Cricetulus griseus: one gene and its partners. The protein of the gene in region 2 interacts with the protein of the main gene of each other region in a pairwise test. Links are inferred from orthologs where the notes say so. Each region holds a gene or a part of one and is shown on either strand. Other genes may lie near its edges.

The links.
Region 1: the proteins of Sat1 (region 2) and Kcna4 interact in binary tests that used the Homo sapiens proteins (3 or more experiments, as listed by UniProt). The link is inferred for Cricetulus griseus from reciprocal best matches to the Homo sapiens genes SAT1 and KCNA4.
Region 3: the proteins of Sat1 (region 2) and homeobox protein Hox-B9 interact in binary tests that used the Homo sapiens proteins (3 or more experiments, as listed by UniProt). The two-hybrid records come from large-scale screens. The link is inferred for Cricetulus griseus from reciprocal best matches to the Homo sapiens genes SAT1 and HOXB9.
Region 4: the proteins of Sat1 (region 2) and Ccdc148 interact in binary tests that used the Homo sapiens proteins (3 or more experiments, as listed by UniProt). The two-hybrid records come from large-scale screens. The link is inferred for Cricetulus griseus from reciprocal best matches to the Homo sapiens genes SAT1 and CCDC148.
Region 5: the proteins of Sat1 (region 2) and translational activator of cytochrome c oxidase 1 interact in binary tests that used the Homo sapiens proteins (3 or more experiments, as listed by UniProt). The two-hybrid records come from large-scale screens. The link is inferred for Cricetulus griseus from reciprocal best matches to the Homo sapiens genes SAT1 and TACO1.
Region 6: the proteins of Sat1 (region 2) and Nif3l1 interact in binary tests that used the Homo sapiens proteins (3 or more experiments, as listed by UniProt). The two-hybrid records come from large-scale screens. The link is inferred for Cricetulus griseus from reciprocal best matches to the Homo sapiens genes SAT1 and NIF3L1.
Region 7: the proteins of Sat1 (region 2) and Tcf25 interact in binary tests that used the Homo sapiens proteins (3 or more experiments, as listed by UniProt). The two-hybrid records come from large-scale screens. The link is inferred for Cricetulus griseus from reciprocal best matches to the Homo sapiens genes SAT1 and TCF25.

The regions. Positions count from the first base shown.
Region 1 is NC_048599.1:70,439,945-70,443,834, forward strand, and holds Kcna4 (potassium voltage-gated channel subfamily A member 4), read right to left. Parts: upstream 2,466-3,890; coding exon 501-2,465; downstream 1-500. UniProt on the Homo sapiens protein: Voltage-gated potassium channel that mediates transmembrane potassium transport in excitable membranes. Forms tetrameric potassium-selective channels through which potassium ions pass in accordance with their electrochemical gradient.
Region 2 is NC_048604.1:90,683,124-90,687,075, forward strand, and holds Sat1 (diamine acetyltransferase 1), read right to left. Parts: upstream 2,801-3,952; coding exon 2,735-2,800; intron 2,479-2,734; coding exon 2,427-2,478; intron 2,309-2,426; coding exon 2,225-2,308; intron 797-2,224; coding exon 695-796; intron 602-694; coding exon 561-601; intron 308-560; coding exon 137-307; downstream 1-136. UniProt on the Homo sapiens protein: Enzyme which catalyzes the acetylation of polyamines. Substrate specificity: norspermidine = spermidine >> spermine > N(1)-acetylspermine. This highly regulated enzyme allows a fine attenuation of the intracellular concentration of polyamines.
Region 3 is NC_048600.1:109,428,850-109,433,056, reverse strand, and holds the start of homeobox protein Hox-B9, read right to left. Parts: upstream 2,801-4,207; coding exon 2,284-2,800; intron 1-2,283. UniProt on the Homo sapiens protein: Sequence-specific transcription factor which is part of a developmental regulatory system that provides cells with specific positional identities on the anterior-posterior axis.
Region 4 is NC_048599.1:115,769,225-115,773,330, forward strand, and holds the start of Ccdc148 (coiled-coil domain-containing protein 148), read left to right. Parts: upstream 1-1,306; 5' UTR 1,307-1,811; intron 1,812-4,106.
Region 5 is NC_048600.1:119,001,248-119,005,421, reverse strand, and holds the start of translational activator of cytochrome c oxidase 1, read right to left. Parts: upstream 2,801-4,174; 5' UTR 2,600-2,800; coding exon 2,329-2,599; intron 368-2,328; coding exon 261-367; intron 1-260. UniProt on the Homo sapiens protein: Acts as a translational activator of mitochondrially-encoded cytochrome c oxidase 1.
Region 6 is NC_048595.1:412,841,755-412,845,254, forward strand, and holds part of Nif3l1 (NIF3-like protein 1), read left to right. Parts: intron 1-1,114; coding exon 1,115-1,253; intron 1,254-2,688; coding exon 2,689-2,772; intron 2,773-3,500. UniProt on the Homo sapiens protein: May function as a transcriptional corepressor through its interaction with COPS2, negatively regulating the expression of genes involved in neuronal differentiation.
Region 7 is NC_048596.1:200,061,730-200,065,229, reverse strand, and holds part of Tcf25 (transcription factor 25), read right to left. Parts: intron 2,978-3,500; coding exon 2,885-2,977; intron 2,756-2,884; coding exon 2,650-2,755; intron 419-2,649; coding exon 259-418; intron 1-258. UniProt on the Homo sapiens protein: Component of the ribosome quality control complex (RQC), a ribosome-associated complex that mediates ubiquitination and extraction of incompletely synthesized nascent chains for proteasomal degradation.

The DNA of each region.
Region 1 (3,890 bases), on a different chromosome or scaffold from region 2:
CCAAAGACATAGGAGATGTTATTAAAACACTGATAAAAGACTGCTCAAATTCATCAGTTCTTACATAGTAAATACTTCAGAATGCCAACTTTTCCAATCACAGCACAATTCCCAACAATGTTGACAATTTACTTACACACCCGTGTGCACACACACTCTAACACACACACACACTCTAACACACACACACACACACACACACACACACTCCTCAGGACCATCTTTACTATTAACATCTTTTCCCATTATGTGCAAAATTCTTGCATTCTATTAAAAAATATAAAGATAAATCTGCTCTATTTAAGCCTCCCTCTTCTCCAAGATGTATCATTTATTTGATATGCAATACAAATTTAGTCACAATTATGCCGTGTATTACCATTAAACAGTGTACTACTGTATGCAGTGCAATCATTTGCATATTTCATTTTCATAACTGCACTCTCTATGCATGAATATATTTGGAGATGTGGGGAGCAGTGGCAGGTGGAGAAAGCGCTTCACACATCGGTCTCCACCGCTTTTGCGTTAGAACAGTTGTTTTTATCTGTCTCGCTATCATCCCCCTTTCCCTGACACTTCTCTTCCCTTCCACACAAAGATTCCTTGACCCCTTCTTCCATCTCTAGATACTCTGACTTGTCCCCTAGGGATGAAGAAGTTGAACTCCGAAATTTCTTGAGCAAATTAGAAGGGAGGTATGGGCAACTGACTGCATTTTGTGTCAGCTGGGTCTGTTCCTCATTTTCAGTCTCTCTGTGGTAGAAATAGTTAAAGTTAGACACAATCACCGGCACAGGCAAAGCAATGGTTAAGACACCCGCAATGGCACACAGGGACCCCACAATCTTTCCTCCCACTGTGATGGGCTTCATGTCCCCATAGCCCACAGTTGTCATGGTTACCACAGCCCACCAAAACGCATCCGGGATGCTTTGGAAATGGGTAGTGGGTTCATCTGCCTCTGCAAAATACACAGCACTGGAAAAGAGAATGACCCCAATGAAGAGGAAAAAGATCAGAAGGCCCAGTTCCCGCATGCTGGCTCTGAGGGTGTGGCCCAGGATCTGCAGGCCTTTGGAGTGTCTGGAGAGTTTGAAGATCCGGAATACTCGAACTAGACGAATGATCCTGAGGATGGCAAAGGACATGGCCTGCTGCTGCTGACCATTGCCACCTCCTTGCTGCTGGGCCAGATCAGTGCCCAGAGTGATGAAGTAAGGCAAAATGGAGACGATATCAATGATGTTCATGATGTTTTTGAAGAAGAGAGCTTGGCTGGGACAAGCAAAGCATCGAACCACGAACTCAAAGGAAAACCACACAATACACACTGTCTCCACGATGAAGAAAGGGTCATTGAATATTGTGTGCCCTGAGTTGTCCAGGTGGGGTGCCGATGTGTCATTCAACAACCTGCTGTGCCCACCTGCACTCAGGGCCATGATGAGATCCCTATCATCCCGGAACTCTGGCAAGGTTTCCAGGCAAAAAATGACAATGGAGATTAAGATGACCAGGACAGATACAATGGCTATGCCCCTGGCAGGGCTAGAACTCTCCGGATATTCAAAGAGAAGCCAAATCTGTTTTTTAAATTCGTTCTCTGGCAGAGCCCTGTCCTCCTCTTCTCTCACAAAGCCCTCATCCTCCCGGAACTTGAGCAGGGCTTCCTCTCCCAACTGATAGAACTTCACCTCCTCAGTGAAGATATCAAAGGGCACATTGACTGGCCTCTTCAGACGGCCTCCTGACTGGTAATAATATAAAATGGCGTCAAAGCTGGGTCGGTTCCTATCAAAAAAATACTCATTGCGCAAAGGGTCGAAGTACTGAGTCCTCTTCTCAGGGTCTCCCAGCAGAGTTTCTGGAAACTGGGCCAAAGTTTTCATTTGGGTTTCAAAGCGTAGACCGGACACATTTATCACCACACGTTCACAGCAGTCACTGTAGCGGACTGAACTGTAGCCACCACCACCTCCATCATCCTGTGGCAGCAGGTCTGTGTACGAACACCCATCCCCATGGTCATCTTCACTATAGTAAAACCTTCCCTCCTCTTCCTCCTCTTCTTCCTCCTCCTCGTCTTCCTCTTCCTCACTCAGCTCCCTCAGGATCTTCTCTTCAGAGCCACTGGGCATCAGGTCTGAGCAATGAGGAAAACTGCTCTGCCGATGGTGGAGTTTCTTCTTTTCAGTTCGCTGACGCCTCCTCCTCCGACTACCTCGGCTACCTTGAGGATCATGGGAGGAGTAGGCCCCACGCATCTGGTGGTGATGGTGGGGACCGCCACCAGAACCCCCAGTACCTTCCACAGCAGCCGTGGCAGCTGCCACAGCAGCAGCTGCAGCTGCCCTGGAGTGAGCAAGTCTCTCCCGCTCACGGGCCCGGGCCTGGGCGGCATAACCATAAGGCATATGACTGTTGCACCCTGAGCTCTCTGCACTCACCATTGCAACCTCCATGGTGGTGGTTTTGGGAAATGGCTAGTTCCAGTTGTAAGAGAAGAAGAAAGAAAAATAGGGCAGCTTATTTTCTTACCAAATTAAGGTAAGTTTGGAAGCCTTAAGCAGATTGCCTGGAAGACTTAGGATATTTTCAGTACAACTTTGCATTTTCTGTTTTTAAATCAGCACACCCCATGCTCCTTCTTCTCAGAGATTCAGCGTTGCTTTCCAGAGCTTGGCTAGTCTAGACAACAGCCTAGTGCTCCTCAAACATAAGTCATGAAATGTTGCGGTCTCCCAAACACCTACGTGTTTTGGGGTAGATGTTCAAATCTGGAAGTATGTCTGGGATGCGCTGGGTGATGACGCTACAAGACTCAAAGGCAGCAAGTATCTGACAGCCAGAAGTTGTGCCTAGAAAATGAAATATAATTTTCTGCATGGAAATTGTCCAAAACCCAGTCCATCCAATTTAAATAAAATGCAAATAAGTCTTTAGTCTTAGCACTTGCCGTGTAGTGTTGGCTTGACCCATGTTAAGATGTGCCTTAGAATATGTCCAACCATTGCTGCTCAGTCTATGAGGAAGATTTCCCAGGCTCTCTCTAAGATCATCAAAGGCTTCATGGACCCACAGACAACGCCAAGTGGTAGATAGAGGCAAAGACCTTGGAAGGCAGAGAGGGTGGAAGATGAGGCTCCAGCAGAGGCAAATCCAGCTCTGAGGTCTCCATAGAAATCAGGAAATGAAGAACATTCTTTGGCTAACTCATTCAGAAGAAGCACTTCACCTGAGGAGGGGTGGGAAACAAGCACAGGAGAAAAATAAAAAGAAGCAAAGCATAGAGAGCAAACAGCCCTTTACTCTACACGCACGGCTTCTCTTGTCCTCAGGCCAATTGGGAGGCACACACCAGGAGACCATAACTTTTCAAGAGCACAGGGCAGGCTGCTCTAAAATCTCTCCCACTCAACATCCATCTTGCTTTCTTCTTTGTTTATTAGTTCAGCTCCGTCTATTTTTTTTTTTTGTGGCAACTCATTTGCTTCTGTCCATTCTCAACCCACATGGTTCTTGCTTTTCTCTGCCCCTTCACCAATGCCAGGTTTTAATTCTCACTAGCATCCTCTTCATTCCACAACAGCAATGCTGTGAGTTTACAGCTGTTTCCATTATTCATTTATCTCAAGGAATTCTCTTTCAATTTTTTCACTCATAAAATGTTGCTGAATTAAGCACCCTTAAAAAAACAATTTTCTTCAGTTTAGATTCAAACTACTTGAATGAACATCAGTTACCTCATCTATAAAGTGTAAACAAGAGAATCCATTCCCTCCACTCCACCTTTGGAAGGACCAACTGAGATCATGGATGCTATTAGGATAGCACACTATCTTGCATATAATGAATGGCAATGAATATGACAGTTATGGATAACACAG
Region 2 (3,952 bases):
AACAACGCCACTGGTAATAAAGCTTTGGAATTGGTGTTCATGCTATTATTTCACTACAAACAAGATAGAGAGCAAGATAAGTTGAGAATTTATTCTAAAGTATAATGGAGGTTGTCATTGTCTACAAAGGCACTCCTTACTCCTCTGCTGCCATTTTTAGCAAGTACTCTTTGTCAATCTTGAAGAGCCTCCATCCCTCTTCACTGGACAGGTCAGAAGCACCTCTTCGTTTGTAGAAGTTGATAGATGGTTCATTCCATTCTGCTACCAAGAAGTGCATACTGCTGCAGCGACACTTCATGGCAACCTAGTACAAGAGAGAAAACATAAGCCCAGTGACATTTCACCCGCTTGCCAAGACCCAATTTTGATTCATTCATTACAATAACCCAATAACTCTTACAAATTCAGAAGCCTAAATCTAGGACACCTGGGTGTATGTGATGGGCCACAACTATGATCCCAGCACTAGGGAGGTGGAGACAAGCTTGAGGCCAGCCAGGGCTACATATTAATACTAGGCCAGTCTGGGATATACAAAGAAATGCTAGTGAACATACCTGGCTTAGATTCTTCAAAATTTCTGATCCTATGCCAAACCCTAAAAGAAAGCAATACAATTTAGCTTAGTCATTTTAAGGCCAAAGGCTCTGATTTCTCTTTAAACTGCCTCCAATCCCAAATTCAATTGTACCTCTGTAATCACTCATCACAAAGAAGTCTTCAAGATAAAGTAACTTGCCAATCCATGGGTCATAGGTAAAATAGTACATGGCGAAACCAACAATGCTGTGTCCTGTAATAAGAGTATCCCATGAGATACAGAGAAAAAAAGCAAACCATTCAAGCTGTATTGGCAGAAACAGAAGCCTATCATAGATTGTAAGAAAATACACGTGCATGCATCATGGAAACAAGTAGTCATGAACTGGACTGCCTCCTCATGTTTATGCTAGTACAGTGCAGACCGATGATGGACGATCTCTCTGGTCTCAGACATGTATTTGCAAAAAGCACACATTAGAGCTAGCTGAAGCTAGGCTACACCTGTGGACTGGCTAGTCTGCAGTCTGCTGGACTCACACTCAGGAAATGAGAACACTTTCATTACTTGCCAGAGCAAAATTGCCACAGACTTAAACTAAACACACACATTATTCACATCCTGATGACATACTGGTATGTCAGCTTGGCAAAAGTTGGGTTTACACAGCAGTTTAGAAGAGGAAATATTTGTAGTTTACCAACTCTTGCTTCCTTAAGGTCAGAACACCAGGCCAAAAGTACTATGTTTACTTTCAGAACTTGTCTTCCCATGCATAAATTTTCAATTTACTTTCCCAAGTTTTTAAGGCAGGAGAAGTAGCAGTAACAAGAATCCAGTGTTACGTAACACCCACTTACTTCTAAAAGCCAGCTTATCCCTTGGGTGTTCTTATTACATTCTAGCCTCGGGAACAGACGTCAGAAGAAAATTGAAGAAATCATCCACCCAAGCAACTTCCCCTTTTAGCCCTCTTCTGACCAGTCAACAAGGGTCAGCAAAAAAGAAATACATAAATAAAAATAAAAATAAAACCAATTCAAAATTGACTCCCTCAAAAGGAGTGTCAACTCAATTCCAAACGGAGGCAATGGTTGCAAATTAAACTTTCTAGCCATTTTCTATTTCTTTGCAAACAGACAGGAAGCGAATATAAGTTTCTGATCTACCATGTTTTAAGTGTGCGATAATAGGACCTTACCTCATTTATCATGATCATCTACTTTATTGTGTAAAGGATCTTTTAGTTACCTCCCCGCCCATCCATGTACACAGAAGGGCCATGTACATGGCGAAGCTAGAGACTGTAACCTGAGGATTGGGACAAATTAAAGAAAAAAATGTGATTTAACACAATTACAAAAAAAAAAAAGATTAGGTTAGGGTCAAACAAAAACCATTTTTATGAAACTGAATTACAACAAATGACATTATACCTAACTCTTCCGGGTTTCCACAGCACTCTGATACTTGCTTAAACAGCTCTCTTAACCCGCCCTATTATAAAGTACTGCACATACATTTTCTTTTTCCTCAGTCATTTGCACACTGGCTGGCTGTTATTTCTGACCAGCTTCTCAGTAACTTCTGCCCGTGTAGTTACAGGTTCTGTACAGTAGACTCTACGGTTTTGATACAACACTCGTTCTCTCTGGCTTCTGGACAGGAAGAAGGGGTTACCTTCAGGGGTCCAGTGCTCTTTAGGCACTTCTGCAATCAGGCAGTGGTAGAAGGGGTGTTCTCCAAAACCATCCTCTAGGAGATCTGTAAAATGGGGGAGGAGGAGACAGTGTTGACTTTTGTAGGTGTCAGGTAACAGCTTGTTGCCTCCCTGAGGCCCCACTCTCCCCACTTCACCTCCCCCCCGCCACGACTTCGTTACCTTTCTCGGTTAACATTACTTGATCTTCCATGTATTCATATTTAGCCAGTTCCTGGGAATGATACATATAAAAGAAAGGACAATGAAAGTCCTGTCCAGCCCTGCCAGCTCACAGAAGGGGAAATGGGGTAGGCGGGGTCCGGTGGTGACTGGCATGGAACTTCTGGACCTGACCCGGGCTGGGGTTGGCGGGCTGAGAAAAGGGAATTATTGACTGGGCAACATCTCAGAACCGAAGATATCAACTCCCCGAGGAAACGGAACCTCCCTCACCCTCCGCCCTAAGGAGAGCCGGGCCTTTTCCCTACCTTGATCAGTCGCAGGATGTCACTGCAGTCAGAGGCAGTGGCTGGACGGATCTTGAATTTAGCCATTTTCGTCTTTTGCTTTTCTTCCCTTTGCGCACCAGGCCCCTGTACTTGAACAGCAGGAGGAGGTGGTTCCTCATTCGTCTCCCGGGAGCGTCCTCTTCTCAGTCAGGCTGGCACCATGACCCGGCGAACCTCAGTGTTAGACAGAAAACTGGGAGAGTTGCTTTGGGAAGCTGCGCAGCTAAGTTGTGGCAAGACCTTGCCTTTTAAGTCCGCTGGAGCTCCTCCTCGGGACCGTGAGATGGAGCGATCACAACCAGTAAGGCTGCGAGCCCGCGGGAGCACCTCCCTCTTCCGGGCTCTCTCGTGACCCTGAAACCGATGGCGCAAACCGGGAGGGCGGGACAGGGCGAGGTGCGCCACTGCGCTATCAAGGCCTTGCGTCCCCTAGCGGCGCCTCAGGGATCCTTCCAGGAAGCCTATGAGTGAGTGCCCGAGTGTGCCCTAGTAACCTCTGTAAATAGAAAATGCGGATTGCCCCTGTGACCCCCGGACATTGCTGAGAAAAGCAAACTCAGAAAGCCTGACTTTTGAGGATGACAGAAAGATTATTCTAGCCATTTTCAAAGTGTGATCGGGAGGTGTAATTTTTTCCCCTTTTGTTGTAATTTTCCACAGGCAGTTCATTGCTATGTGGTGATGTCATCGTTTTCATGACTAAAGGAATGTGTGTGTATTTGCATTTTTGTTTTGTTTTTGAGACAGGGTCTCTCTGTGTTGCCTTGGCTGTCCTGAAACTCTCTATGTACAACAGGCTGTCCTAGAATTCACAGCTCACAGAGATCTGCCTGCTTCTGCCTCCCCAGTGTGAGGATTAAAGCATGCACCACCATGTCCTGATCTTCTTGTATTTTCTCTAATTCCCTAAGATCAAATCTTAGGATTCCTTAATTTCTTTCCTTCTAGTTCGGCAGTTTTCAAACTGTGGGTCACAATCCTTGGGGGTCGCACAACCCTTTTACAAGGGTCACCTAAGAACACAAATATTTACATTACAATTCATAACAGCTAAATTACAGATATGAAGTAGCAATGACATAATTTTATGTCTGGGGACGACCACACATGAAGAACTGCATTAAAATGTCGCAGCATTAGGAAGATTGAGAACCAGTGTCCAATGACTAAAGTTGTAAAGTATTTTCTTTTTACTTC
Region 3 (4,207 bases), on a different chromosome or scaffold from region 2:
TCTCCAAAGCTTCCACTGCCCCAGGCAGGCTCACAGCCTTTTTCTACTTGTATCCAAACAAACCTGGACTCAGGTCAGTATAGCTGAAGCCACACTACCGGCTAAAAGTGGCTGACCTTGGCTCTAGGTCTGGGAGGAAAGGGGAAGAATTGGGTTGACAAGGGAGTCCTGTTCAGCCACAGCCAAGAGATCTCTTGGCCCTTCAGCTCAGTCCCAGGAAACCCTGCCCAGATAGCCATCTCTCAGCTCTAGGCCAGGAGGCAGCAGACATGTGAGTTCTGAATAGATACCCCCTCCCCATCGCACACCACAAATAAGAGTTCACATTTACAGCCAGGAACACCCAGCACACTCCCAACTCACAAGAAACCCAATTGCAACCATTTATCAATTGCAGCCAGTGGACAGGGGAGCCCCGGGGCTCCCAGATAACTTATGGTGGCAATAGCCTCTTCCTTTCTGCTGCTCAGCTCAGAGTTCGGTTAACACAAGTTCAGGGAAACTGGGAAGCAAAATTGCTCCAGCCCCAAGGTGGGGAGACAGAGCTGAGGAGGAGTAACAGAAAGTCCTTTAGGCTTAACAAGCCTTCTAACTGACCCTGAGGGGAGACAAGAGAAGAGGGGCAAAATCAGGAAATAATGTATACAGGCTTTTCTTTTTTCTCTTTCGCATCTCTCCCTGGACCCCAGGACACAGAAAAGTTGCTCCCCAAAAGCGGAGCCTATTACAAGTAAGATCCCCCTCTACCAGCTTCTCCCTCCCCAAGTGAAAAGCCCTGAATGTCTGTGTGTATTTTAAAATTCAGTTCATCCTACACTAAGTAGCGTGTCTTACCAATTTGCAGCGCTATTTTCTTAATGTGATTGCCTGGGATGGGACCCGAAGCCACATTAAATATGAAAGAGGGGGGGAAACTGTTAATAATTGATCCTAGCCAAACGGCTGCTGTGCAATAATGGGCTTTCCAGGCCGAGTTTGGGGCCATGGGGTGAGGGCTCTGTTTGGGTGTTTGCAGGAGGTTTGGGAAGAGCTGTGTTCCCGGATATCAGCTCCTAATGACTCAACCTGGCAGGTTGGAGGTATGGGGATTGCAAAGGCCTGGGGCGGGGAGGGGGGTGCAGAGTCTCTCCTTACTTTTCAGAGGGCAAGCATGCCCCCAGAGGACCCATTGGCTACTCTTTTGGTGGGAAATCTGACAAGGCAAGCAAGAACTAAACTACTTGTCCAAAGGAGTAAGTGGTGAGGAGTTGACCTGTCAATCTGTCCATAATTGTTTGGGAACTAAGAGCCCCCAACCGGTTTGTTTTTCCCACCTTTAAAAAAACGACAAGTAAAAGAATCCTCTCAGCCAGCATCGCTTTCCGCACGGGGTTTTTAGCAAGGGTGCTTTTAGGAATGGGAGGTGGTAAGAAACTCTCCGCTAAGGGTAGAGTTCTCCGCCCCTGCGCAGTCTCCCCCCACCCCTCCCCCGGGTCCCTTCGGGACGTCTTCTTTTCCATTCTGGAGGTGGGCCCTGACTTTAGCAAGTGATTCCCAGACTCTCTGAGAGGCAGACTGTCCCCGGCTAGTGCTCCAGAGCCCCGCGGAGGGGGTTGGGAAACGCAGAGGCAGAAGCGGCCACCCTGGCGAGGATGCCCTAGGAGGGCGGGGGATCCTGGAAGGAAGGCTCCCGGGGAGGGGCCGGCGCACCCGGGAGGGGGCTCGGTCACCGCATCCTGGGCTTCCCCCGCCCCTCCCGGCGCCGGCTGCCGACCCGACACGGCTACTGCGTGAGATCTGCTAGGAACAATCCTCAGCCAAGCTGTTGCATCGCAAATAAAATCCTAATGAGCCCCCTCCCCCTTCCCCTTGGCCGGCGGGGACCGTCTGCGCGTGGCTCAGGCGGCTCTGCCGGGTGCGCTCCGGCCCGTGCCCGCGAGGGCTCTGGGCCACGCTGGCCACCGGCCCGGCCCCCTCGCTCCTCAAGCAACTGTCGCAGCTCTCTTTCCCCCTTTCCAGCCGAAGGGGGAGAAAGGAGGAAGGACTAGAGGATTGATCCCTGAGGCTCAGTCCAGGCGCCACTAGGAGGAGTAGGGGTGGCCTCCTTGTCCCCCTCCATGGCACACAGCTTCTTCCTACCCAGGTCCCTTCCTTCCTCTTCCTCCACCCCCTCTAGCCCTGCAGCCCCCGGCGCGCTGTCCCTCCACATTGTCCGCTTTATGGCTTCTCTCCTCCCCTCCCCCGGGCCTGGCCTGCAGCCTGGGGGGGGATTTCCTCACTTTTTTTTTTTTTTTTATAACTTACTTTGATCCGGCCTCTCTTTGTCCTCGCTTCCTTCGCAAATTTTATTGTCCCCGTAGCCGGCTCTTTGATTAGACAGGACAGCCTCCCTGCCCGCCGAAGTTTCCAAACTGTACTCGGGCGTGCCCTGTTTGAGCAGCTCCCCCGGCGCGCCCAGCAGCGGCTCCGCCTTCACCGCCGCCTGGCCCTGCCCCGGGGTGGCCTCGGCGCGCGGCGCCGGCTCCAGCCAGGTGCGGAGGTACCTGCTCTCTGCCGCCGGCGCGCCCTGGGGCTGCAGGTAGGGGTGGTAGACGGACGGCAGGCTCCCCGACGCGTGCGGGCTCAGCGGCGCCCAGGAGGCGCCGAACACCGGCGCTTTGGGCTGGAAGCTGCACGAGGGGAAGTCCAGGTGCTCGGCGTGGCTCGGCTGCCGCGGGTTCGCGTACTGGCCTGAAGGAAACTTGGCTGGAGGCGCGTCCTCACTCTCGTGACTTATGATCGAGTCGACATAATAGCTGCTAAGCGTCCCAGAAATGGACATTCTCAGACATTATCCGCGCGCTCGCAGGGGGAAGGGAAGCGCTCGCGCCTCGGCGCCCAAGCAGGGAGAGGTGGCACACGGACCCGGTGTAGAGGGCTTTCGGACGCGACCCCCCCAGACCCCCACCCTCCCACCCCACCCCCTGCTCAACTTCTCAGCCAACAAAGTACAGTGGAGCAGCCCGGCTCGGAGCTCCTTGCAAAATGATTGGTCAAAGTTTTGCGGACTGCCTGATAAAGCGTCAGCTCCGACATAAATCAATCGGGCGAGGGGGCTGCGCTCGCGCTGTCATCCGTCCTCACCGCATTCCATATCCAGGATGGATTGTTTTATGCTGATGCAATGTGCTATCACGTCAGGGCTCCGGCGGCCACGTAACCTCAGCCAGAGCTGCCGGGCCGCCCGGGGCCCCTCCCGCTTTTGCAGGAAGGGGGGTTCTCAACATGGGGCGATGGGGGCGGAGGAGAGGCGGAGGCAAGCAGCGGGCTTGCCTCTGGAGGGATGATGGCTGCGGAGCCCTCTCCCCAGGCGGGTTAGAAAGGGAGGGGAGGAGGACCAGCATACTGGGAGAGAGAGCGCCCCAGCCTCAGAGCAGCGGGAGAGGCCCGACAGGGTAATTAAAGAGGAGGTAGTCTTGTCATCCCCCAACACCTCCACCTCCACCCCGCAGGCCCTCATTTCCTGTCCTCTGTCCCCTTGACAGAGATGTTTATTAAACAACAGCAGCACAGCGACCCACAGGAGAGAAAGTAAAGGGGTGGGGAAGAAGTTGGGGGTTTTATAGGACAGTTATCCTCTTTGGAGGGGAATCAGGGCACAATTTGGGGAGATTTACATGACTAGGCTCTTCTCTTGATCCTCCAGGAGCTCAGGGAGGAGAAAGGGAATTTCAGTGGAACCAATGTCCAAAGACTCACTATCTGGCCTGAAATTAGAGCCTGCCTCAGGCCAAAGGGACTAGCCAGACCCCGTAGCTAGTCTACGAAAGAGTTTCACGGGACTAACCAGTCTTATTTAACTCCCTGACATTTCTTGGGCCTTTATGAAGGGTTGGGTCCACGGCCATTTCTTCTGTCCTTCGTCCAGAATCCTCTGAGACCGTAAAACTGTCCAGATGAGGAGGCCAATGTGAGAAATGATTAAAGGAGCTCTCCAGAGGTAGGGAGAGGGTCCCCAAACAGCACAGTAAGCGACACCCGGTTACTTTCCTTTTCCATCCAAAAAGGGAAGGAGGCAAGCTAAATTCTTAGTACTTGTCCAGCTCTGGAAGATGTCCAAATGCCGACATAGGGCAGTACCAAGTACAGCGGAGTCCCCAGAACCAGTCCGTGTCCCCCACCCGCAGCCTTCCCCCCTACAATCCTCTGGTGGAGCTTCCAAATAGTGCATTTTATTAGCAGCTATTCT
Region 4 (4,106 bases), on a different chromosome or scaffold from region 2:
CCTTGGCTACACTGACACCCAAATTCACGGTCCTGGAGACCAATGCAGCAAAAACCCAGAACCATTGCTGAGCCCCAAGAAACTACCGCGCTCCCCTCTCCGCCGCCCTCTGCCGCAAGGAGAGAAGCGGAGACAGGACAGTAAACGAGGCTCACCAGCTCTGAAGATGCTCCGTGACCTCTGGCTGCGCGGGGAAAGCAGGGCCGGGAAGGCGCTAGTGCGGCCGCGGCCCGCGCGGACTCTGTCCCTGGTGCATTCCTTGCATTCCAGCACAATCTGTCGCCAGCCTACGAGCTGGCAGCGCGCGTCGCCCGTTGGACACACACACACACACACACCTGCCTATCACGGCACCCGGAGCAACCGCGGCGCCTCCGCTGCCTGCGCTCGCGGGGTGTCGCACTCAGCCACCACACCGCTAAATCCCGGCCCCGCCGCTGGTCCCCTCGTTTCCCAAGGAGCAGGAGGGGACAGGGATCCCCCGATCCTCCAATGGGTGCAGCGGCCCCTCTCCAACTCCTGGCAGCCCGAGGAGGCAGGGCGGTGCGGGAGGGCGGCCCGTAGCCTTGGGGCTGGGGCGCCCGCGAGGGAGGAGCGTGCGGTTTGCAGCCGAGAGCTGGGAGCCCTGGACCTGCCGTGCGGTCGCCACGAGCACCAGTACGGCTCCAAGGGCCAGGGCGATACGCGGGGCGGGCGTGGGAGGCAGCGGTAAGCGGTTGCTTCTGAGGAACGAGGGACGGACCCACAGACGGCTGGCTCCTGGCGCGACGGCGCGCGGGAGCCGCGGGGCTCAAGTTCGGGAAGCGGTGCTGGAGGAGAAGCGGCCGCACGGAGCCGTGCGGGGCAAAGTTGTGCGCCGCCGGGGGGAGGGGAGAGGCGAGCGGGATGGCGGAGCACGCGGCGGGGACGGAGCGACTGGGGCCAGGGAGCCGCGGGGGGCGCCCGGCCGTCGCCAGGTCCCGGCTCGGCGCGCTCAGGGCAGCTCGCACCCCGGAGCCCCGCGCCCTCTCGCCAGCAGCGCGCACTTACTTTCCAGCTCAGGCGGAGGTCATCGTCGCTCCAGGAACCAGGGACATCCGCGCCGAAGGGTCGCCGCTGCGGCACCGGAGCAAACTGGCAGAAGTGCGGCAACCGCGCCGCTGCCCGCCCCTCCCTCCCACCCGCCCCCTCCCCGAAGAGGCTCTCCCACCACCCGGTGGCGGCGGCAGCTCGCCTCTACCCCGTGCCCATAGTGCCGCCGCCGCGGCCAGCGTCCACGCGCACTCAGCCCCGGAGCCACTCAGACTGCTCGGAGGCCGCCGCCCCGCCGCCAGCCCGCCCGCCCGCCCGGCCAGTCCAGGCACCCGGGAACGTCAGCACGCCGCCGTCCCCAGACAGGCTGCGCGCCCGCCCCATTGGGCGGAAGGAGAGGGCCGGCCCTCCCCATTGGCCCGGCCCTCATATTGAACGAGCCAATGGGAGCTGCGGTTTCAGGTCACCATGGAGACCGATGCTGTTAAGAGCGAGAGGGCCAGGAGAAGGTGGGGAGTGAAGATGAAGGTGTCTGTGGCCTCCGGCGCAGGAGGGGGCGTGGGGGAGGAGTATTAGGGGATTCCCAAACTAGAGCTCTGGAGTCGGGCGGGTCTTGCTTTTGACTGTTGCCAAGACTGTGCATGGTAGGGCTTGTCCCTGGCGTCAAAGGCAGAAACAACTGAGCCCCTGGACTTCTGCTTTACATTGAGAGTTCAGGAGTGGGCGTTTCATTTTTTTTTTCCTGCATCTGGGGAGCCTGCCAGGCTATGCCCTTTGACCTTTGACATCTGTGCAGCCCGGTGAGTTCCCCTCCATTCCTTAAACCTCTGCTTCTTCCTGACGTCACAGGGTCACTTGAATTCTTCCAACCACTCCCCCTTCCCTGAGCTGGATATTTCTTCGGATTTTTGGTTCCTCAAGCCTATCACCCCCCCTTCCCAAGAGAAAGAGGATTTCTTACCAGAGGTATTTTGGTAAAGCAACTGGATGGGATTGTGCCAAAGATCAACCCACAACAGAATGAGTTAGTTCTCTGCTTCCCAAAGCAGCAAGTCACTGATCTCCCCCACCCCTCTTGTTCTGTGTGTTTTCTGCACTGAGCTTGGCAGGTGCAGGTTCTTTCTAGTATTTCACGGACTGGAGCAGTGCCAGTTTCCATCCTGATGATTTTGCAAAAGAAAAGAAGAAAAAGATTACAAATGATGGATTATTTTTTGCTTTCTATTTTCCAGATTATTTCTAAATTTGATAAAGAAATGATTAATTGGGACATGGAATCAGTACTCACCCAAAATCTTGACCCTTTAGTGATGAGTGCTCTACTTCCACTTAAATCATTTTGTGCTAGTTTGCTTGTACTAATTATTTTTGATGAGTGATGATTCTAATTAGATACTACCCATTAATCTGGAACTTTTAGACATGATACTACTTTTAAGCATATATAACATGATACTACTTTTAAGCATAATAACAATCTAACATGATATATTTATCTTCCATCTTTTGGTGACTTTGTTATTTTCATAATATTCCCTTTAGTTAAAAAAAATCATGTTTATGCTACTTTCCCTAAAAATAAAGGACTATATTAATTTTTTCTTGTTATATTGTATGGGAAAATGATAGGAATTTTGAAATTACAAATATTTTGCTGAGAGAAACAGATTACTGTGTGTGCAAGCAACATGTATCTAACTTACATTACATTTTAATTGGATGGTATGTTTTACTGTTGGTTTTTGTTGTATAAAATATATCCTAAGAAATGTTAATATGGCGTCTTGCTTGGGAAAAAATATCACCTTAGTACTTATTGTAAACTTGAATTTGACTGTCCTATGCAGGGTTGGACTGTGGAACAAAATAGGTAAGCCTATGAATATATCACTTAAATATTTTAGAATTAGGGTGGAAGCAGAGAGCATTAAGGTTGGAGATATCTCATGGTTTGTCTTTTGGGAAATTAGCAGCTTTTGAGTTTTTCTTGGTTTTGTTGTTTTCTTAATGTGTGTTTCTTTATAGGAGAATAGAAAAACGTAAACTTTGAAGGTCTATAAATGTAAGACATTTTAAATGTATAGTCAAGATACCAATAATTTATTTTTTAATTTAAATAATACAGAATGATGGCAAAAATGGGTGTCTCACTTTTTCCTTTGTCAAAAGAAGAAAAACAGAACCAATTTTACTTCTAATGATCATTTTCTTTTGTATTTTTCTCGAAACATATATCTGAGAAGTATTTTCATATTGTTTTTATGTGTGCAATTTACATGTCATTTCCATTTTCAGTAATTAAAATGTTGCTGAAACCTAACAGGAGTAATGGATGTCCCTAAATCAGTTGCCATTCAACATTATTTTTTTCTTGTTATATTTAGTGGGAAAAAATTTGAACTTTTACTGCTAAGCAATGCTGGTTAAAGTAAGAAAACACTTTGTTCCACTAAGAGTTGATGCTACTCAGAACCTGTCTGGCTCCTACATTCCTTCCACCATCAGGATTGTGATAACTAGGACTGTCTCATACTCCAGAGGTGCTACTAAACACACAGAACTCTTGCGAACAGGATTTTTCTCTGTTGGGTTATACTTTCTCAGATTACCTTTTATACCCGCTCCTCCCAAGCTTCTCCCTTAGCCTCCCAATATCTGGCCTTTTATGGAACCGTGTTGCTTATCCTCCCTCTCTATCTGCTGGCCTTTCCTTTCACCAAGAAGCAGAACCAATGGGAGGCCACCATTTTTTCTTCCCAGATGCTTTGACTCTTGAAGTTGTTCTAAAGATGGTTCTGTCTCTCTGCAAAATCACAACTCATTTGGCTAAGTTCTCACATATAACAATGTCTTTTGGACCAGGAGTGGGGTACATGCCTATAGGTGCAACACTTGGGGGCCAGAGGTGGTAGTAGGATCCTTATGTACATAGTAAGTTTCAGGCCAGCCTTGGTGGCTACATGAGATCCTGTCTCAAAACATACAAATACAACTTTGCTTAAAACTTGGCAGGATTTGTAGTCACTGGAAAGGGGGGGGTCTTTTTTGAAAAGTTTTTATTTTTATGTGAATAAATTTATTCACTAGAAGACTTT
Region 5 (4,174 bases), on a different chromosome or scaffold from region 2:
CTCCTTTAGACATAAACATCTGAGAAGCAAGCCCTTCTCCAACCTAATATCAGGGCTTTCCCCAATTTTACCTGTCCTTTCTACCCTATCTTCTCCAAGCTTGACAATGCAGCTCTACCCTCTATGGGTCTCCATGCAAGGATAGAATTCCCACCGTGTTCCTACCCTTCTCTCTGATAATTTAAGGACTTTTCCATGGCTTTCCAAACATGGACCTCAGGGCTGTGCTCAATAATAACAACATGAACCTGAGGACACACCTCTGTTTTCAGTGCTGACTCAATAGTTGACTTGGGCATATTCTTGCTTCGACACATCTCTAAGACATTGGCCAGGTGGCTGTTGTTCTCGGGGTTGGGGCCTCCCTCTGGAAAAAGGGAAAAGAATGATCAAAGACATCTATCTCATCCTAGTATGGAGAAATAAGCAATGTCCAGCCTCTCCAACCCCAAAACAATGGCAAATTACTCTCCATTAGAAAGCAGTATCTAACAAAGAGGGCTCAGTGTGCAAAGTGCTTGCTTTGCAAGCAAAGGATCTGAATTTGATCCATAGAACCCATATACAAGAAAATACCAGCACCAGTTTATAATCCTAGAACCAGGCAGGCAGAAACAGATCCTGAGACTCTCAGTCAGCCAGCTGTCTATGTGGTAAATTCTAGGCCAATAAGAGCCCTGAATCAAAAAAATAAAACCAGACAGAAGGTGGTAAAAGTGCATAAGCCTAGCAACCTGGGGCCCAATCCCTAGGATCCACACAAAGGAGGAAGGCACAAACCAGCTCCAGAAAGCAGTAGGTTTAGGCAGGAGCCTGAACTACATAATGAATTCTAGGTCAGTCTCAGTTAAGAGTGAGATTCTGCCCAGACATGGTAGCACGGTGCCTTTAATACCAACACTCAGGAGGCAGAGGTAGGTGGATCTCTGTGTGTTTGAGGCCAGTCTAGCCTACAGAGTGAGTTCCAGGACAGCCAGGGCTGTTATACAGAGAAACCCTGTCTTTAAAAAAACAAAAGAAAAAAACAGCGAGAGTCTGTCTCACATTGGAAGAAGGAGAAGTATTTTGGGAAAGAAGTTGCTTTGGTGGGGGATACTGGAGACGGAGCCCAAGGCCTATCCATGCTAAATACTATTCTTTTCCATGGGGCTTCATACCCAGTCTGGAAAAGAAGTTCCCAACTCACTCTCCCCTTAGGGATAGTTATTATTTTGCTAGGCTCCAGCAAACTACTTGTGTCAGATGAAGTGGTTGAATCATAATAACATCCTTGCTCTTACTCTATTAGTACATAATGTCTGACATGCTCACAAGACATTGGATTCATGCTCAGGCTCTGAGTGTAGGGGCTACACTGGGTGTTCTTTGTAGTATCCCCTCCGAGATCAAAATAACATGTTGGTTAAATCAAAATTTGTTAGGAGAGGAAGCAAAGGGAAACATCAGGCAGTTGTCGATTAATACCTTCTATATGCTGTCAGCCACCACAAGGTGGGTATTATCCTTGCTTTACAGAAAACTGAAATTCAGTAGTTAAGTCACTTTTTGAAAGGCTTTGTAGCAACCTAGTCAATGAAAGAATTCATATCTTCTTGACTCCAGACCCACACTTTTCACAGACACTAAAATGGAAAAGGAAGGAAGGAAGGTAGGAAGGAAGGAAGGAAGGAAGGAAGGAAGGAAGGAAGGAAGGAAGACAGTTGCACCACCAAGCAGATACATGGTTCCAAACAGACCTGCCAAGAAAGTTTCTCAGGAGCTCCAATGAGGGAAAATGAAGCCCAGGCAAGAAATAACTTGACTCAGCATGCCTGCCACAGCCTTCAGGAGTAGTAAAAGTGGCTGCAGAAGGCTTGGTTTATTCCTTCAAGAAAGACATACACCTGCCTTTTTAAAAAAAGATTTGTTTTGTGTTTACCTGCATGTATGATGCATGCACTGCCCGAGGAGGCCAGAAGAGAATGTTGAGTACCCTGGAACTGAAGTTTCAGGTGCTTTAAGCAATCATGTGGGTGCTGGGAACCGCTGAGCCATCTCTCCAAACCCTGACTTGACTCTTAAGGTTTATTTCTGTTTAGTACCTATCTAACTAAAGACTTGGATGGAGGCGTTTCTATCTTCCTAAGGGCAGGTCTTTGAAAAGTTTTTGGAAAGGAAAACAGGAATATCCACTGAAGGCGGGTGCTTTGACAGTTAAGGGTAGGACAACGATAGCAACTGGAAAACGCAAAGGAAATAATCGGTCCTAGTCCAATTTAGGGGTACAAGGGAAGCCTTAGGCACCGAAAGGGCCTCAGTAATCAGCAGTGAGGACTGTCAAGTTCTCACCTTTAACCGCCAGGCGGATACTGAGAGTGAGTTTACTGAAGATTCGACTCCTTTCCATGTCCTTGGGGCCCTTGATGTGCCGGACTTTAGACCATTTATTGTGTCCCGCGGTGGCCGCCGCGCTGACACGCAGCGTCCTGTGTGGAGTTGGGCCGCAGCCGGGGTTTTCCTGCTGGGAGACGCACCAAGGACCCACGCGAACCCCGAGGCTTCGCGCACGAAAGCATCGGGCAGCCGTCCCTCTCAGGTTAACAGCAGCCCACCACATCATCTGCTTCGACCAGGGGCTGCAAAGTGCAAAGAGGAGCGGCCAAGGTCAAACTGTCTAACCTGTTACCGGAACAAGCCGGTCAGGACGTCCTGGCCGCTTCTGCGGGTCTCCAGAAACCCCAAGGCTCAGATCTACTTAAGCAGCACAGCTGTGAAGGACCGGCGGACGCCGGGCATGGAGACCCTTTTTGGAGCAGTACACTTCCTTTCCCTGTCCGTTGCAAAACACGTCCCCTGCGCCTGCAAAGTCGGTTCCGCCTCATCTTCCTACTCGCCCTAACCCTGTCCCTGCCAGGAGTGACCCAGACCTCAATTGCTCCCGGTTGCTTGGAGACGCCAGATTTCCTTCCAGTGAACTAGTAGAGATTTGTGTGACTGATTTTCCTTCCTAATTCTAAACAAGTCCAGAATAATAAATGTTTCGTTGTTCAAAAAGAAATATGTCGTTCAACCGGTTCATTTTGCATGCAAAGAAACCACAGCCAAGGCTGCCTGTTTAAAAAAAGGAAACAACAAACAAAACAGTCCTAAATGCCGGGAGTAAATGCTCATGTGTGTAATTCCAGCACTTGGAGAGTGAAGGGTCGTGACACCAAGACCTTGTCTCAAAATAAAACAAACAAAAAAAGTAATGTATTTATTTTAAAAATCCTAGCCATCAGCCAGAGAAGTGATTTGACCAGACTTTATGATTTAGATTTTTATTTCTATAAACAAGGATGGCATTGTTTTGCTTTTGCCAACCCATACTGGATAGTTGAAAACACAGCATAAAACCCTGGAGTTTGGAAAAACAAAACAAACAAACAAACAAACAAACAAACAAACACGGTATGTAAGCAGCAATTGTAATCATGATTGGCTCCTAAACCCAAGAAGATGGCTTGGGGACAGAGTCAGGTGAATCGAAAGGTTTGGGGGAAAGAACAAAAGATCAGGCCAGCCTTGAGTCACACTGCTATCTTAATTTTTCATCTGTTGTTTAAAAAAATATTTTAAGTATTTTTAATTTATGCGTATGGTTGTTTTGCCTGCATGTATGTCTGTGTGCCTGGTGCCTTGTAGAGGCCAGAAGAGAACATCAAGATAGCCTAGAATTGGAGTTATAGATGGTTGTGAGCTGCCACATGGGTGCTGGGAATTGATCCTTCGTCCTCTGCAAGAGGTACCAATAGCCTTGACTGCTGAGCTATCCATCTCTCCAGCCCCTTCCACCTGCTGTCTTGACTGAGAAAATTAGAGGAAGGGGACGCTATAGAGAAAGAAAAAACGAAGTAGCAGCTGCAGAATTCCTCTGTAAGAGATCCCCAGGGTGAATTAAGTCCCAAGAGCTTAACTCATTAGAAAAGCAGGACAATGTTAAGGCGGTTTGAAGTTTTGCTCTCTAAAGTTAGACCGGATGGATTCAAACTGTGTTTCTGCCATTTACTAGTGCAACCTTGGGCAAGTTGCTTTACTTTCTGTTTCCCTCCATATATAATGACTTTGAGAAGAACAAGCAGGATGGGGGGTGTGATGGGCACAGATTTTTATTATTACATAAGTATGACCATAATTAGCCTACTCACCTTCCATT
Region 6 (3,500 bases), on a different chromosome or scaffold from region 2:
TCAGGCTTCTCCCTATCTCTTGGCTCAAACAGTAAATTTCCTGGTGTTCTTTTACTCTTCAAACTACATTTTGTATTTCTTTTTGCCCGCTTGCTGGATTTCATTGTGGATGTGCATAAGAGTAATAACTAGTAACCAATTGACAGACTATATTGAAATCTCCTCTAGCAAAATGTTTGATTTAGTCTCAGGCAGATTTTTAGAACAAGAGCAGAAAACAGCCACATTCTTTGCCACATATCACAAGAATAGTCTCCCCAATCAGTGGTGGTGCACACCTTTAATCCCAGCACCAGGGAGGCAGAGGCAGGTGGATCTCTATTGAGTTGGAGGCCAGCCTGGTCTACAGGTCCCTCTGAAATCTTCTGAGCTGGGCTTGCTCTGTCCACATTGCTCACATCTTAACATCACTCTATTTTTATCTCGTTTCTGGTTTTCTTTAAGTTCTAAGTGCCAGTAAAACCAAAGATTCCAGTCGCAGCTCATTTATATGTATAATTTTTTATTTTATGTGTAGGAGTGTTTTGTCTGCACATATGTGTGTGTACCTGGTATAGACAGTGCCTATGGAAGTCAGAAGAGGGTGCTTGATCACTTGGAGTTACAAGTAGTTGTGAGATGCCATGTGGGTGCTGGGATCCAAACCTGGGTCTTCTGCAAGAGCAGCAAGTGCACTTAGTTGCTAAGCCCTCTCTCCAGTTCCATTTGTCATTCCTTTATTTTTCCATAACAGTAGCACCTACCTTGAATTTAAAACTTAACTTTTGATTATGTGTTAAATATCTAGCAGGGCCAAGCTGTGGTGTCGAATGCCTTTAATCCCAGCACTATGGAGATAGAAACAGGAGGATCTCTGGATTCAAGGCCAGCCTGGTCTACAGAGTGAGTTCCAGGACAGCTGGAACCCTGTCTTGAAAAACAAAATCAAACAAACAAAATATCTAGCAGGGTGTGTGTGAGCTCTCAGAAGTTAGAATGCTTTTGTTAGATTTGCATCCTAAACTTTAGTTTAAGCAACCACAGCTTATGTACATTAATCTTACTGATTCCAGTTGTTGTATACATTTCTTAGGCCTGGGGATCGATAATGTTCCTAACTTGAGTTTCTCTTCAGCCTTTGCTTCTGGATACTGGAATGGGACGGTTGTGCACACTGGATGAATCTGTCTCCCTGGCAACAATGATAGAGCGAGTTAAAGGATACTTAAAGCTTTCTCATCTTCGCTTAGCTCTTGGAGTAGGGAAGACCTTAGGTAAGTGTCTTTCATCGTCTGCAGATCTACTGTGACTTTGGACAGATTTTGGTTTTGGTTACTTTTGACACCTGATCTCATAGAGCATAGAATGGCTTCAAACTCCTTTTGCCTCTCTCTTTCTCTCAAGTGCTGGGATTACAGGTGTGTCCTACTTTTATTCATGTAAGTGGTAAGAAAACATGTTAGCAGCTCAGGGACATAACTGGTTTACTTTGTCAACCAGGGTGGGCTGGGCTGTAATGTGGAATACATCTCCCGAGCCTAAATGATAAAACTTATTTCTTAGTTTTCTGGGTTCATCTGTTCATCTCCAGTCAGCACTAGAAGTATGTTAATTATAAACTGGTTATTGTTGCAGTGGGAATAGAGTGTTTTAAATCATTAGGTAAAAATTCTAGACTAGGATGCAGTCCACACCTTCTAGTACCTGGCAGAAGCAGGTAAAGCTCTGTGTTTGAGCTAGATCTAAAAAAGTGAGTTACAGCTAAGACTACACCCTGAACTCCTGTCTTTAAAAAGGAGGAAAGGAAGAGTACCTAATATATGTGTAACATACTGCTTTTCTATTTTTTTTTAAAGATTTCCTTAACTTGAAGTGTTTGTGTGTATGTTGTCAGACCCCCTGGAGCTGATGACAGGTAGTTGTGAGCCACCAGATATGGGTGCTGGGAACCAAACTTGGGTCCTCTGGAAGAGCAGCAAGTGCTTTTAAACTGACCATCCATCTCATCTGCTCTGCATTTCCCTTTCTTTAACATGCCCTCTTGCACTGTCTGCAGACCCAGCTGAGGTTTGTTGTTAGCACTGAGGCAAAGCTGGGGGTGCAACAAACACTGCTATTACTCAAGACTTAGGGTTTGTGCAGCTGCATCCAAAGAACAATGCCCTTGTCTTGTGTTCTCTGTGTGGTGCCAATGATGGATTTGTTTGCCTCAATTTAAACATTGTATTTGGAGCTGGGCATGCTGGCGCACATGCCTGTAATTTGAGCATTTGTGGAGCTGAGACAGGAAGGATCACTAGTTTTGCTCAAGTTCAAATTTTGGCTAGCCATGAATTTAGGGTTATCCTCACACATCCTGGGATTATAGGCATGTGCCAGCACCAGGCTCCTCCCGCTTACCACTGCCCCCGCCCCCATCTCTATCTCTATTTAGGTTTTTTGAGACAGGGTTTCTTTGAGAAACAGCCCTGGCTGTCCTAGAACTTGCTCTGTAGACCAAGCTGGCCTCGAATGCACAGAGATCGGCCTGCCTCTGCCTCCCAAGTGTTGGGATTAAAGGGGTACCCCATTATACCCATTTTTAAATCAAGACAGCATAATTCATATACTGGTGGAGAGACAGGGTTGGGATTTGTAGTACAAGTTGTAGTGTTAAACTGAAAGAGGTTATGTCTCTCTATAATAACACCTCTTGCTTTTGTCTTGAAGAATCCCCAGTCAAAGTTGTGGCCTTGTGTGCTGGTTCTGGGGGCAGCGTTCTACAAGGAGTGGAGGCTGACCTTTACCTCACAGGTAGGACCATTTCTGGATCTCTCCCTCAACCTTCCTTTATTTCTTAAACATTCAAAACTAGCAGATTCCAGGGCTGTGCCTGGCACAGGTTGAAGTGTAATCATAGCTTTTCCCCTTTCTTTTCTATGTTTGTTTTTGCAGTGCAGGATGTTGATCCCAGAGTCTCCTGCATGCCAGCAAATATTATTCTACCAAGCTATACTGCCAACCCCTACTACATTTTTTGAACTTGAACGAAACAGGAATCATATCAAATTGAAGATATACTGTGTCTATAGAGGGGAGAAATTACTGGACAATCCATTAGTTTCCCCTCCAAAATGATTTCAGTTAGTATTTCCTTAACCACTTTTCTTAGATTTCATGTTAGCTAATGAGATGCTTCTACCTTGTTACCTGGGCTGGAGGGAGGTTCCTTTTGGCTCAAAAGCTAGGTATCAGTTCTATCAGGTCAAGTTCTGAAATCTTTCTAGAACCTTCCCTTATCTCTCTACTCAAGCATATATCCTACCTGAAGTATTGCATTGTGCCTCCAAAGGTCCCCCAAATTAGTTTTTATTGTTCTCTTTGGAGGTTTTATTTTTATGTAGAACTCAGAAGACAACTTTTGGGAGTTGGTTCTCACCATGTGGGTTCCTCAGACTGACCTTGACTTGTCAGCTTGAGGGCAAGATGGCTTAGCCACTGAGCCATCTCACCAACCAGCCAAGGTCTCACTGGGTAGTCCT
Region 7 (3,500 bases), on a different chromosome or scaffold from region 2:
CATCTAACATACAGTGTGCTCTGGAAAATGCTCTACTCTTCCATCCGGAAACTAAACTCCAGAGAAGACATTTGTCCCTCCCTCCTTACCAGACTTGTAGTAGGCTCACAGAAGTGGGTAGATTAGCTAGAACTACAGCAAGTCTTTAAGGCCTTTAAGGGAATGCAATCTTTCCATTAAGTATGGGGAGGGCTGGATCTACATTCAATCCCCAAGAAAGAAGAAAAGTTACCTCCCCAGACAAGAGGTGGCACTTACCTCCAGGGAACATGGTAAGTGCCTGCTGTATCAGGAGGGAAGCTTGTTGCCTGGCAGAGGTGAGCTCATGCTCAGGTAAGTCTGTTTGCTGACTCAGAAGGAAATATGCCAATGGGACCGAGAAGGCAAAATTTGGGAGTTGCGACAGGTTCCGATGTGCCTATAATGGATGAAGAAACAAAGCCCAGACCTTAAGCTTGTGAAGACAAAACACATAGTTTGCACCGGATGCCAGGTGAGTCCTACAACTGCTTCCTTGTGGGCCTTTCAACTTAACTTGGGATGAAGAAAATCCATTTTCTACATATAAAAAACACAGAAGGACACAGACGGGTAGGAATCAGCTCAGTCAGATGACTGATAGTACAGCAGGAGGCAGGAGCCTCAGAGTCACTAAGGATGGATGTCCGCTGCCTAGACTTGCAGCTGTGGAAGCAGGGAAGTCAGCCCTCTTGCCTATGCAGAAAGCTCATAAAGGAAGTCATCAAAAGTGAGATCTGATGCCACCTAACCTACAAGTGTTTTCCAGTACTTCCCTTTCTTTCTCTATGGTTTGTGAGAAGACAAGTGACTTGTTCTATGTCTTCTCTATCGTGTATGAAAAGTGCATGCACACATGTACACGAGTGCTGAGGCTGGAGATCAATACTGGGCGTATTTCCTCAATTGTTCTACAGATTGATTTCATTTCTTAGCTTTTTAAAAACCATTGACTTATCTATTTATTTGGTATGTATGTATATGTATACATGGACACTATGGCACATGTGTAGAGGTCGGAGGACAGCTTGCGGAAGTCAGCCCTTTCCTTACACTATGAGGTTCTAAGGATTAAGTTATCAGGCTTGGTGTCAAGTGCCTTTACCTGCTAAGCCATGTCTCTGCTTCTCTACCTTCATGCTCTGAGACAAGATCTCTTCTCCATACCCGAAGAGCATCAATTTATCTAGGCTAGTTAGCCAATGTACCTGCCCCTGCCCTGTCCCCTACAATAACTGGTTTTATTCTACAACCACATAAGCCATAATGATCACTCACCTGCAGCCCTCTTTGGCATTTCCTGTAGCCATGCTTTCATGAGCTCCAGGGATTCTATAAATCAGATCCCAAAAAGCAAAATTTCCTGGCCAACTATATCAAACATTATGTACTTAAATTATTTATCTCATCTGGGCAGTGGTGGTGCACGCCTTTAATCCCAGCACTTAGGAGGCAGATGCCAGTGGATTTCCGTGAATTCAAGGCCAGCCTGGTCTACAGAGTGCCAGGAGAGGCTCCAAAGCTACATAGAGAAACCCTGTCTTGAAAAACAAAACAAAAAACAAAAAACAAAAAAAAAAAAAAAAAAAGAAAAAAGAAAAAGGTTTATCTCTTTTTTGATAATGGAAAAATATGCACTGTGAAAAACACTCAAAAGTAGAAACAGAAAACACAGGCTTATCACCTTTCTCCCTTACTAGGTCCTGCTGGAAGCAACCAGCACAAAACCCAATGCCTCTCTTTTCTGACAAGAACCAACCATGGGATGGGATGGGAGTCCTGTACTTCTTTACACTGTCTAGCAGTTGCATTATGGAGAATGGCAGAACTGATCTTAAAGCATGGTGGTTAGCCCAATAAACTGAAATTGTCACTTCAACACATGTCCACATTCATGGACAAGACAGTTATGTTTTTTCTGGTGTTGTCTGGCACACAAGGTGCATTTAGCATTCACAGCGGCTGGGCCAGATGGCAGCAGTGTGGTGTCAGGCTATCCTTCATTTTTAGTTACATGTAAATCTGGCAAGGCACAAGTGACTGGTTTATGATTGTCTATCCAGCATTTCTGCAGAATGTGGGTCTGTATGCTGAGGTTCCCTATGTCACCCCACATGGCGCTTTACTTCATGGTTACTTCTTTTTTCTTTTTTTTCCAGACAGGGTTTCTCTGTGGCTTTGGAGGCTATCCTGGAACTAGCTCTTGTAGACTAGGCTGGTCTCACACTCACAGAGATCCGTCTGCCTCTGCCTCCCAAGTGCTGGGATTAAAGGTGTGCACCACCACTGTCCAGCTCATGGTTGCTTCTTACACGGACACAGTGACTTCTGGGGTTAACCCAACTTTTCATCACTACTAGTACCACTGTTTGTGCATATGTACTTGGTGTAGACCTGTGAAATGGGGTTCTTGAAAGGCTGCTGGACACCCTCTAGGAAGACTGGATCTTATCCAGCAGAGATAACAAGGAAGCCAGAAAAGAAGGGGACCCTTGGGATCTACCTGAGCTCTGACTCATGCCTTCACCATCTTATCATAAAACTGTCCCTCAAACACTTAGGGTGTGGATAAGAAAGGTAAGGGAGACACACAGCTGCACTTGCAAGTCACAGCACATGGCTTACACATACCTCCCACTCCTGGAAGAGGCGGATCAGGTACTCATAATTCCGGGCCCGTAAGGCCAGATGGTCAATAAGCAGCAGCATGCACAGGGGGTCCTCATCTGGCTCAAGGCTTCCGGAGGCAGCACAGTTAAGTGGAGAACAAGGGAGACAGAGGAAGTGTTGTCATGGCTGGAGTCCCCACAAATCTGGGATCACTGTGGTGGGGACAGGTGGCCATGCAGTCAAAGTGAATACTCACCTCAGGATGAGCTTGCAGTACTCCAGTGCAGTACGTGGGCATCCTCGCTTCTCCAAGAAACTCATCTGCTTGTAGAGGGCCAGGTAGAAGCTCCTAGATCAAGGACAGTTACCCATGAATTAGTGACAGAAAAGCAGCAGAACATGACAACTAAGAGGCCCAGCACTGTGTCTACTCTCTGGGTTGAGACAGCATTTCCTGAATGGCTAGATATAATCGTGTTTGTGAATATTGCCTGCATGTCTGGAGGAAATATGTGCTCCTTGTTATTTAATTATGAATGTACTTAGACAGGAAAATCAAGCTTTTCCAGTCTTGAGACATGGTCTGACTATGCTGCCAACTCTGACCTTGAATAAATTGGCTCAAGAGATCTTCCTACTTCAGAATGCCAAATCTGTTCACAGGTGCCACTATCTAGTATGTGATGAAACCCCTGTCTTCTTTTTCTTTCTTTTTTTTTTTTTTTTTTCCTTTTCTGGTTTCTTAAGAGGGGATCTTATGTAGCCCAGGCTGGCATCAAATTTACTACATAATCAAAGATGACCTCAACTGATTGATTCCTACCTCTCAGTGCTGTGACTACAGGCATGTGCCACCACATCTAGCAAAATCT